Linked DNA regions of Bombyx mori. The protein of the gene in region 2 purifies or fractionates together with the protein of the main gene of each other region. This does not show direct contact. Links are inferred from orthologs where the notes say so. Each region holds a gene or a part of one and is shown on either strand. Other genes may lie near its edges.

What was found.
Region 1: the proteins of exocyst complex component 5 (region 2) and exocyst complex component 8 purify together in Homo sapiens (affinity purification with mass spectrometry; 5 studies listed by BioGRID and IntAct, counting the BioPlex papers as one, with this or other methods). This does not show direct contact. The link is inferred for Bombyx mori from reciprocal best matches to the Homo sapiens genes EXOC5 and EXOC8.
Region 3: the proteins of exocyst complex component 5 (region 2) and exocyst complex component 3 purify together in Homo sapiens (affinity purification with mass spectrometry; 7 studies listed by BioGRID and IntAct, counting the BioPlex papers as one, with this or other methods). This does not show direct contact. The link is inferred for Bombyx mori from reciprocal best matches to the Homo sapiens genes EXOC5 and EXOC3.

Annotation. Positions count from the first base shown.
Region 1 is NC_085122.1:6,419,537-6,423,677, reverse strand, and holds exocyst complex component 8, read left to right. Parts: upstream 1-1,288; 5' UTR 1,289-1,547; coding exon 1,548-3,593; 3' UTR 3,594-3,835; downstream 3,836-4,141. UniProt on the Homo sapiens protein: Component of the exocyst complex involved in the docking of exocytic vesicles with fusion sites on the plasma membrane.
Region 2 is NC_085131.1:6,373,172-6,377,306, forward strand, and holds the start of exocyst complex component 5, read right to left. Parts: upstream 2,815-4,135; 5' UTR 2,604-2,814; coding exon 2,571-2,603; intron 2,484-2,570; coding exon 2,352-2,483; intron 1,477-2,351; coding exon 1,369-1,476; intron 595-1,368; coding exon 397-594; intron 1-396. UniProt on the Homo sapiens protein: Component of the exocyst complex involved in the docking of exocytic vesicles with fusion sites on the plasma membrane.
Region 3 is NC_085118.1:10,556,088-10,559,743, forward strand, and holds part of exocyst complex component 3, read right to left. Parts: intron 3,060-3,656; coding exon 2,805-3,059; intron 2,174-2,804; coding exon 1,892-2,173; intron 1,796-1,891; coding exon 1,613-1,795; intron 592-1,612; coding exon 433-591; intron 1-432. UniProt on the Homo sapiens protein: Component of the exocyst complex involved in the docking of exocytic vesicles with fusion sites on the plasma membrane.

The DNA.
Region 1 (4,141 bases), on a different chromosome or scaffold from region 2:
TCCCTCAGGATGCCTTTTTTATTATAATTTATTTAAGTTTTATGACCCAGCCCATTACCCTGCCTATTTCTGCTGCAAAGCACTCATCGCAGTAGATTTATGGGTGGCAGAATGTAGGGTTAGCTCGCACGGGTAAGGGCCATTATTAAAATCTATTCCTGCCTCGAAGGTGTCATGTGTTCCAGTTTGAAGGGTGTGACAGCCATTATACAATACAAAGCAGACTTTGATACCTTAAGACTTATGTTTCTCTAGGTTGTTTCAGATTGTGATGTCTTTAACACTACTTAACACCAGGTGGGCCCTTAGCTGAATTTTTGGGTGGGTAGGTGTTACGTCTAGAATAGTCTAGATGTTACTTTTCATAACATCCATTAATAAGTTGGATCCAGTTTTATTACTGGTGGTAGGGCCTCTTGTGAGTCCGCGCGGGTAGGTACCACCACCCTGCCTATTTCTGCCGTGAAGCAGTAATGCGTTTCGGTTTGAAGGGTAGGGCAGCCGTTGTAACTATACTTGAGACCTTAGAACTTATATCTCAAGGTGGGTGGCGCATTTACGTTGTAGATGTCTATGGGCTCCAGTAACCACTTGACACCAGGTGGGCCGTGAGCTCGTCCACCCATCTAAGCAATAAATAAAAAAAAAAAATAAAAAAATTAATAGTATAAAAAATACTAATACATAATTACATAACAATATTTTTTTAAATCCCAAATTGAACGAAGTTAATTTAATTATAAAAAAATATATTAAATACATAAGTGGACCATTTATTTTGACTCTAATTGTACGATGGGCAGATGACCCCAAATCTTTTGTCGAAAGCTCACAACTCGTGCCGATTACTATACAGTATGCGCGCGAGTTCATGTACATCGGGGCCGGAGGCGACGCGCAGGGGGCAGCTCGCCCCGCCTCCCCGCGTTTGTTTGACGTCTAGTGTTGTCTTTGACAGTTGTGACGCGCGCTTATCGATACCAAAAACTTACGCTAACGCTATTGTGTTATTTCATGGTGAATAAACCACGAATACTCCGCTTCCAACAAGTTCAGGTAGAAAAAAACCTACACTGATTCGGACTCTGATCTGTTGGTTGTCTTTTCATCTCATAGTAGTTGAATTGGAATTTAAAAAATATTTTTCTCTATTAGGAAGAAATAAGTCATTACTTATCGCATTTATTTTATAATTTGCGAAGTGACCTGGTTACATTAAACCAAATTGACAGCTGTTGACTAAATCGGTAGTTATTATCGACATTACCATAATTAACTAGGTCACAGCACTACCGCATTCCTCAGGATGGACAAGCTCGCGCGTCTACTGTACATAAAATTTGAGAAAACGTTTTGATAGCAACGTTGGCAGCGCGTTGCCAACAAACTGACTTTAAAAGAAGCTGAGATAACAAAACGCATTTTTGACATATCGTTTTGATAGAAAACGTCCTGTCGTTCGATACCTACCTATAGAATCGAATGATGTGCGAGCCAGTGTTTTGTGATAAATACGAAAGAAGTATACAATAAATACATGTGCAACGATGTCCGAGATAGATATGGATAAGTTTGCTGTCCCAGACTTCGTCCCCGAACGTTACGTAAAAGACCTCGCTAGATCCTGCGTCGGAGGGGAGGAGCTACAGCAACAGAAGGAGAAAATACAAAATTTAGCCGAAGAAACCGCAAGTGCCCTAAAGAAAAATGTCTACGAGAATTATATGCAGTTTATCGAGACTGCGACGGAGATATCCCACCTCGAAACAGAAATGTACAAGCTATCGCATTTGTTAAGCGAACAGCGTTCTGTGCTGACTGTGCTCTCCCACGCCTCAATCCTCGGTAACGAGAACGGTTTATCACGCGAGTCTCTTGATAATCACGACGTCGAGGCTGAGAGGGCAGAAGAGGAACGAAAAAATAAATTAAATCTCATTACAGAAAAGGTAGAATCATGCATGAATCTGTTAGATGTCCCAGACCGAACTCTGCTTCATGAAGGTGACTTGCTAGAAATAGATGCAGAAGAAAATACTGCATTACAAAGAATGCATGTATATTTATTTAATGACTGCCTTATGTTAACATCCTGGATTTCTAACAGACGTGGTCCAATGAGATATAAGTTTCAAGTGAGTTACCCAATAAAGAATTTAGCAGTGGTGAATGTAAGAGATTTAGGAACTGTGAAACAAGCATTTAAAGTGTTAGCCTTCCCAGACACCAGAGTATTTCAATGCAATAGTTTTGCGATAAAAAAAGATTGGCTAGACAAATTTGAGATAGCAAAAAAACTGTATATTGAAAAAGAAAATTCTAAACAGAAGAAAAAAGATAGTCAAGAAAAATCAAAATCTGAATCTATTGAATCACCGAGTCTGTCTGTGGAAGAGATGCCATCACCCCAAATTACACCATTGCCTGAGTGGTTGGCTGATGTTACTGAAGAGCTTGATGTTTTGATTGTGGAGAGACATTTTCAAAAGACCTATGAGTTGATGGTTTCAGCTCAAAAAGCTTTAAATACTGAAGATTTTAAAAACCATCCACAAAGGGTTGATATATTGAAAAAAATAGAACAGAAGCAAAAGAGTTTAATTGAAATATTATTGAAAGATTTAGATGTAACACATAATTGGAGTTTGCGAGGAGGTCTCCAATCAACTAGACAACCGGTACTGATACTCAATAAGTTTAATATGACCAGTCAGGCTTGTGACTTGTTTTTGACGATATGCAGTTACACAGTCAAAGTTCATGTGAAAAGGGTGCAACTGGAAGGGTCAATTAACACTTATGTCAAACAAGTGGGTGAAGTGTTTTTTTGCTCATTGAGTGATGCCTTAACAGAGTTTATTTCACTATTTCCTAAAAATAAAATAAGTGCTTTTATAGTCTGGGCTAGTCTGCAACTTAGGATATTGATGAGTCAGATTATAAAACAAGTGTTCACACCTCAGTGTGCATTAGATTCCGTTCAGGATTGTGTTGAGAGTCTAAGGGAACAATGTACATTGTTTTGTCAATTTGGTTTAGATTTAAGATTCCAGTTGAACAGTTGTTTGAGAACACCAATAATAAAAGCTTTGAGAGAATATAAAGAGAAGACTGTTGACTCTATGAAAAATAAAATCACTGAAGACAAATGGACTCCAGTGAATATGCACACCAAAGCAGGTGTCAATAAATTCCTGAAACAAATGGAAACTTTGGGCCTTATATTAGCTAAGTATGTAATTAATGAAACATGGGTAGATTTATCAAGTAGTACCATATGGTTTACAAAGTCTATTGTCACTATACAGAAAATAGGTCTCCAGTTAGTGAACAAAGATATGATGGATAACCTTGATGAATACATTTATACAATATTCAATTCATGGCTTGTCCTCGCATCAGTCAACGATATTAGTTATGCAAAGAAGAATTTCAAATTCATTTTAGAAACAGTGATGCCTTTAATGCTTAGATGTTATAAAGAAGAAGTTGGCTATGATAATGAGAAATTAGTAGCTTTGGCAAAGAACTATGGTGTCAGTATTACACCATCCAAAAACATCACAAAATACACAAGTAATGAATATTTATGAGAATAGTCAATAGTCTATAAATAAGATGTATGAAATTATTTATATTATGCTGAAGCTTTAAATTTGTAATATAATAGAGAGTAAGCAAGCAGAATTATGTTAGTTTATATAAATACTGATCAAATTAAATTTTATGTATATGCAAGTTACGAATATTAAGTTTTAATACAATCATTATTTATGGTGATCTGTTTAAGTGTTCTTTGAAATTGTAAAGACAAGAATAAAATATATTTCCAGTATTATGATTTTTATTACTAGTGCAGTCAATTTTGCATGTTACAAAATATAACTAGAGAAATTATCATTTCTTCGCCCATATTTAACAGCAAATTGAAGCAATAAAATACATGAAGCAACTAAACCTAATTGTATTACAATTTAATTATTTACACATCTATAACAATAAAACAAACAGAGACTTATATTTAATGTGATATATTAAAAAAAGAATCTATATTTTAAATAATAATAATAATATTTACCAGAATAATATTTTTGGTGTATTCTAAATTTGTAAATACAGGAACTTTTTAAGCAAGAAATAT
Region 2 (4,135 bases):
GGATACTGTAATATTTAGTATACCTCTCTTGTATAATTTATACAGCAATACCTATAGTTTTATATTTTAATCTTGTTTTCACATTACTTCAAGGCTTAAAAAATGTAGTATTTATTTAGATAATATTTAATTTTAATTGTGAAGTTCAATACCTATTGCACAGGAAAAATTGACCGGAGTTTAATAATTGTAGATGGAATAGTTCTTTTCAAAAAATATCACAATTAATAATTTCCTAGTTCTTGCTAAAGTCATGCACTGCATGCACAAAACGGTAGTTGCATAATGAAGAAGAACACATGTGCAATGTCTTTGACCTTCGTTGTTAGTGACAATGTTACTGAATTAGGCTATCTGTATTGGCTTTAAAAAGATTAACAGATCGAGAGGAACTACCTTGTTGGGATCACTAAATAGATCCACTATAACTGGACCCGGGCTTAGGAAATGTGTTAAATGTGAAAGAAGGTCCCTTGCTGCTGCAGCTCTGGCTCTTGGTGCTCGTGCCGCTCCCAATTTTTCCCCTACGTTTAGCGCACGTCCGCCACAACGAGACATACGTTCGTCCAATGAACTAAACACCCCCACACAATGCTGTAAGGAAATTAAGAATGTTGTACAATTATTATTTCTTTTTTAACTTTCACAATTCAAAGAAAAGTTATTTTATCATTGAACAAATGATTATATAATTATTATTTTTGTTGCCCTTGTAGGCAGACGAGCCTACCAACCTATTATTAAACAGTTTTTGGTTGAATCTATTTTCATTAGCCATAAAATGTTTAATAAGTTATAAATTTATGCTGTAGGACTTATAACATCTCATTAAATAGAAAATAAAGTGGCATGATCATTGGAATACATCATTCAAAGCCATCAAGATATGTGTTCAAGTAGAATGCAACAAGTAGTTTAATACGTTAACGAGTCAAGAATAGTTACACTTCCTTACAAAAAGATGTTCAGACAAATGGATATCATGACTGCAGTAAGTGAATATGAAATTGAGTCAGTTATTCAGGAAAAATCTTGATGGAATACTTAATAGAATATAATCGACAGATTTAAAAATCCACTTAAAGCCGTGAATAAACTTAGAATATACTTACTTACAACACAATCATTGTAAACTGCTTAAAAATACAGCAGCTTTATTAATTTAAGGAAACAACACCTTTACAGGTAAATTATACAAACAACATTTACAGTGTGGGATATGTAAACCTAGTGATTCTTATAACAAGCAATACTGTCAGTAGCCATCATAATCGATCTCGGAGGAGTTTGTCTGAGAATCATAATTTAGTTTTCAGTTTTTTTTTAGGGTTCAACACATGGTAAGTTGTAATATGACTAAGTACATACCAAGTGTTGATCCATAATTTCTGATAGCTTAGCACCATATAGTTTTTCTTCTTCCTGCACTGCCTGTTCCAGTCTAGCACATTTTCTTTCTTGCCTCTCTTGAAGAACCTGATAATAATTTAAATCAGATCGTAGAGATAAAAAACCTCATCCTTTTATTCTAAATAAGAATGCGCTAGTATTATTATCCATAAAAATAAAATTTAACAAGAGCTCAAAATTATAGCTCGTAACCAAATGCAATCGCGACGCTTGAAAGGCAAACGTGACTAAGCGACAATACGTGAACTTTACAGTAGACTAATTTAAAGTTGAAATACCTGAAATTTATTTTAATGAATCTAGTTGTAGTAGAATCTAGCTAGTAGCTGTAGGATTGAAATGATTTTAATAGACCTAGAAATATATATTTTTTTCGCATCGAATATGGTTATTGCCTGTCATTTATGCACACAGCAGTTATTGTTGCTTAGTCACGTTTGCCTTTCAAGCACCGATATGTATTTGGTGCCACTAAGAACAATTAAATAAATTTCTCTCCTACCACGAATCCAAGGATGCAAGTGATGAACCCTCCACAAGTAACTCTCCCCAAAGTAGTTTGAGAAGTTAAGACTTTAGAATCATTTTTACTTAGCATTTTTTTAAATATTTTAACCTTATTAATTATTTGAGAAAATTAAAGAAGACAATTGAAATGGGCAATGTAAAGCTTTATTTATATTTTTTTAAGAAAGTCTAGCCAAGAAACTATTAATTAGATATTTTTTTAAAAAGGCATTCATTAACACTATTCATATTATCTCTGAAAACATTTAATGATACAAAAAACAGACTTAAGTTAACTAACTTCTGCATCAATTGAACATTGAGGCAATTAAACATGGAATAAAAATTTAAACAATTAAAGTAACAAGCCCAAATATAATATACAAGAATAATTAAATTTAGATATAACTCCACAGAATCATCACAGAACTCACCTTTAAATCTTGTATGGCTTGTGTAAATATATCATGTATCATTTCGGGGTCGAACTGGTCATCTTTGAGACGGGATTCCTGCATGCTACGTCGCACCATTCTCTCCACAAATTCATCAGGATCAAAAGGATCCTGAAAATAAAAAATTAAAAAGAAACTGATATCTACTGTCTACATAAATATTTAGTTACACTGGTTTATAGATCAACAAATACGTACCTGTTCTAATTCTCTCATATATTGGTTCATCATCTTGAAATACAATTTTAATTTCACTACCGTTTTTTAAGGTTTTTACGCCAATTAGAAGTTTTTTGAAGTGTCTGGCCAAAACCTTACGAATACAAACACTTCGTTCCATAGATTATACACTTAATATATTTGAGACTTCGTTCATAGATTAAACACTTAATTGACTTCGTTGTTTAGTGTATTATCTATGCAAACGCCTACCATTGTACCATAGATTTTTTTTTTGGTTCAATTTCCTTATTAGGAAAGGCAAGGGGATCTAAGCCCATACCGCCTTATTTGTTCTATATAATTTCTGAAATAAATTTTCAAAAAAGCCGAAGCCAGGTCTTATATGATTTATATTATATCCTGAAATAAAAATTTCACTAAAGCCGAAGCCAAGTCCTTTATAATGTACCATAGATTATTAAATTAGTTGTACTAATATTAATTTGTGGTACCCGCAAAATGGGGTGATTCGGGACAAATTCCAACTTGATGAACAATTTTAAGGTAGTTCTTGATGTTTAAAATGGTATTTTATTATCAGTCGCATGCACTCTTAGCAGAGTGGTCGTGGTCATCACTTCGGGTGGTGGTGCGCTTCACCAGACGTCGCCATTCCTCACGTACCGCGGCCCTTCTTGTGCACTCGTTAACGGGACCGTTTAGAGCTGCCTTTATTTGGTCGGTCCATCACAACGGTGATCTGCCGCGCGGTCTTGTACCCTCTATCATGCCCTGCACCACAAGGCGCTCAACTGAGTCGTCACCCCGCCGCGACGCATGCCCGAAGAAAGTGAGAATGTGACCCTGAACGATGGAGGATAGTCGCTGCTTGATGCCGAGTTCCTGTAGAGTTAACTGATTCGTTCTGAACTCCGTCCACGATATTTGCAGCATTCTTCTCCAGCACCACATTTCGAGAGCATCTATCCTCTTTTTCTCACTTTCTCTCAATGTCCATGGACATTTTGTTGTACATGATAGTGCATGGACAACAAAAATAAAAATATATAACTAATACTTGATTACATTTAATTACTTATGATTAATATATATTTACTTGGGAAATTATCCGCGACAGATTTTTCTTGTAAGTTGTGAGACAATTAGAAAAAACATCTATTTCATCACTTAAAATTAGTTCAGCGCAATCGGACAACTCCGAATGAACATTGACGGAGACCGCGCTACCGTGGAGATTATTGTAGTCCTAAAGGATTCTGTTTAAGGGAGAGTGAGCACCTAAATTCGAACGAGCGGGCTTTCTTATAAGCGGTTTATATTTCTTTGTTCTTAGTAAGTACTCAGGGGCTGATATTTTTATCTGGGTTAAGAGATTAGGTGTGTCCGATATACCATGAATTAATCAGGTGGATACCCCCACTCTGAACAAATATTATTATATTTTATTATGTATTACTTACACATTTTTGTCCACCTTGAGATTTCATCGTTCTTGTTACATGTCTGTGCAAAACCGACTTACTTATGGTAAATTGCTTAGGTATTTCAATTAAAGGATTATTCCTAATCTCATAGGCTTC
Region 3 (3,656 bases), on a different chromosome or scaffold from region 2:
GGTTTGTGATCTTTAACCGATCGACACAAAGCGGTCCGCAAGCCCGTCTACCGATCTCTTCTAATACAAAGTTACTGTCGCATAACGTAGCTTTTGAGATCTTAGTCTGGCAACATGGTCTTAATAAAAAAAAAAGACTTGTCAAAAATACGTGAAACGAACCGGTCGTAGCATTTTAGTTTTACTTAAGTATTGTAAATGTAGTAAATACACGGTTATATGGATGAAAATGTCGTATTAATCGATAACAAGTATTTTCCCTCAAGATCGCAAGATCAATTTAAACGGTAGGCAGCGGCCTGGCTCCGCCCCTGGCATTGCTGAGGTCCATGGGCAACGGTAACCACTCACCATCAGGTGGGCCGTATGCTCGTCTGCCTACAAGGGCTATAAAAAAAAAAGATCCGTCACAGTTACTGAAAAGCTGTTGACCTGCAAGTTCTGGTCGATCATCTGGAAGATGATGACGGGCGCGTGCGTGTGGTACGCGTTGGAGTGCGGCTCCACGTCGGGCGCGCGGTTGGCGCTCCACTCGGCGCGCTCAGACTCCAATGTCTTCTCCATCCACTCCATATAGTTACTTTCCATTTTCTGTGCAGATATTCATTTAGTTTTTTAGATCAAATACAATAAGTGTGTGTGTTGGTGGTGTGATTTACTTAAGTTTCATTATTATTTTTTATTTATTGCTAACATGGGCGGACGAGTTTACGGCTCGCCTGGTGTTATGTGGCCATCCGAGCACACAGGCATGAAACCATGTTAATGTCACCACCTTTCTTGAGACATGAGTTCTAAGTCTCGGTTTCTACAGTGTAATGGTTGCCCCACCGTTCTAACCGAAACGCATTACTGCTTCTAGGCAGAAAAAGACACGATATCCTACCACCCGTAATAATAATATCATTCCTTCTATTTGATATTGTATTGCTCATTTATATCTTTATGTCAATTTTTATTATATCAAGGTTTGAAAGTGCATGAAATCCATGATTATGCCGTTGTGGCTGAGTAGCCGGTTGGTGTCCACTATACCAGTATTGATTGAGTTATGCAGTTATACGAGAATCTATGTCCTGGAGGTTTTTTTTTCTGACTAGATACGTAACATAGATTTCTGTTGCGCGATAATTTTTTGTAGCCTAAGTCCATTGTGACACATCGGTGAGGCGATTAAGTAAAAATGATTCAATTTATCCGCGGCTCAATGTGAACGCGGTCAGCATGCAGTGATGCTTTATGAGAATACTTCATGCAGTTAGCAACTAAATTTGTTGTCTATTTATTTGATGTTTTTTTTTCTACCTAAGCTGATGGTCTTGAGAGACCATTTCAGCGTAACCTTAACTAGTAGGTGAGCTCACGGGGCTCAAACTTGACGTCGTTGTTAACACTAACCCTAGCAAGAGCAGTGTTTCGCAGAATCTACCACCGGACCTACTGAGATCCGGCGCGAAACTCAGTGGGCTGTGTCTAATTTACTCGCCGAGCCCTTCGTCGCAAGCGACGGGTTCGACGAGAACGATGACCGGATTGATGATAGTTATTGCTCTTGTAGCAGATTCCTTGCCCTATACTATTTATGAGCCTCTTTTGCTACCAAAAGGCTTACCCGAAGATACTCGTCTTGAAGTCTTTGCATCACATCATCACTCAGCAAGGGAGGCAGCGTTGTCACATCTATTTTCAATTCTGGGCTGCCCATCAACTCATGTCCTGGGTACGTGTTTAGAACCCAAGATAATAGTGTAACATATTCATTGCCTTCGATGCCACTTTGTACTACGTCTTGTAACTAAAACATTATTATGATTTTGTACATCTCTTTGCTTCTAAAACTCGCTAAACTTCGTAAAATCAAGTATTTAGAAAACAGAAAAAAAGCACTTACACTGGCTGATAAACATGTGTGATACATGTTGACATAGTTAGTAACGATGTCATAATGTGGGGGGAAACAAGGCACGCACAAAGTTTTGACTACCCTCAAATCTTCTAAAATTAGTTGTCGCGTTAACTCTAAGTAGCGAACGAGCCATAGCTTGTTGTCTTCCCGCTCGTCCACACGAGTCCCTTCGATCCGTTGGGCTACAGCACATTCTAGCACTTCGAATGCTTTGTTTTTCCAATTTTTCGGTCGTCCCGGCGGTAGGAAGCCAGACTGTACTTGTTGCTGTCAAATACAATGGACCAAATGAACAGTATATAATGCACAGTAAATAGGATAACCAAATTTAAATAAGATTTATCTATTACTAAGAAAAAACATTCAAACAAACTTAATTCTTTTTAGGTCATCAGATCGACAGACGAGCTCGCGAACCATTTGATCAGTGTTTCAGTTGTCGTTAAAGTGAATTTCATTGGGACTAGAGGTCGAAGTTTCAATTAAAGTATCAATAATGGCTGTCCAACTCATAAAGCTCATTAACTTTCAAAGGCGGTTCAGCCCTTTCAGAAATTAGACAAAAACTAACCACCAATTAAGAAGAAGCCCGCCTTTGAATTTAGGTAAAGTGTAGAATAATAATATTGTATGAGATTCTTGAGATTGATTGAGATTCTTACATCTTGAAAACAAATATTTCGTGAATACGTATTATTTACATAGAATGAGCCGGTTCACAGGATTTAACTCAATTTAATTTAAAGTTAACTTACATATTACTTTGGAAAGTATGGTACCTGCCATATTCTAATGCCAGCATAGACACATTGTATGATACAAGTATACCAGGCATCTTATCACGACGACCCGGCTCATAGACTGTTATTTTAACATGTAAATAAGTTATTATATTCACCTCTAATGCCATTCGATCCCTTTTCTCTTCTCGTTCTATAATTCTCAATGCAGTCACGATAACAGTAGGCTCTTTCCTAACAGTATTCAGTGTTCTAGCTAAGATTAGTTTAATCTGTTTCTCCAGTAAGTTAGAAACTATTTCGACATCTTCAAAATATGCTTTCAACATAATTTTGTCATGAGATGATTGGTTGGGCAGTCTATGTAGCTCATGCAACAGATCATCTCTAGAATTTTCTAAGTCATTCAAACACTGTAAAAGAAACCCAAAGAAACATTTATGACTGTAACTAAGACATAAGTAAATTAATTAACAGAATAAAATCTGAAAAAGTAAGATCAGAATTTTTTTTTAACTAAAATGTTAAAATATAATTTACAACTGATTTATTTGAGAAAAAATTCTATATTATGAACATTTAAAATTATTATCTATCCAAAAAATTCATAAGATTATCTATATATGATCATAAAAATATGATGAAAAAATATGCATCATCTGGGTCATCATTGAATCATTAAATTCTTAGTGACAAAACTCTTAAATATTGGTAACTAAAGGTGAAGCCTTTTAACTAAAGGTGGGTGGCGGCATTCTCGTTATGTTATCCATAAGCTCCGATAATCATTTAAAATCAGATGAGCCGTGAGCTCTTACACCCATCTAAGCAATAAAAAAATAATGACAATAATTCATAAAAGCCAGTAGTTTATAAGTGAGGGTACTTATTCTCTTTTTCATAAAAGTATTACTAAGTGCAGGTGGTATAAAATAAACTCAGCGGCGCGGCATGTGTCCCAAGCGCATTAAGTGGTTTATTATGAAAATAAACGCGACACAAAGTTCTTT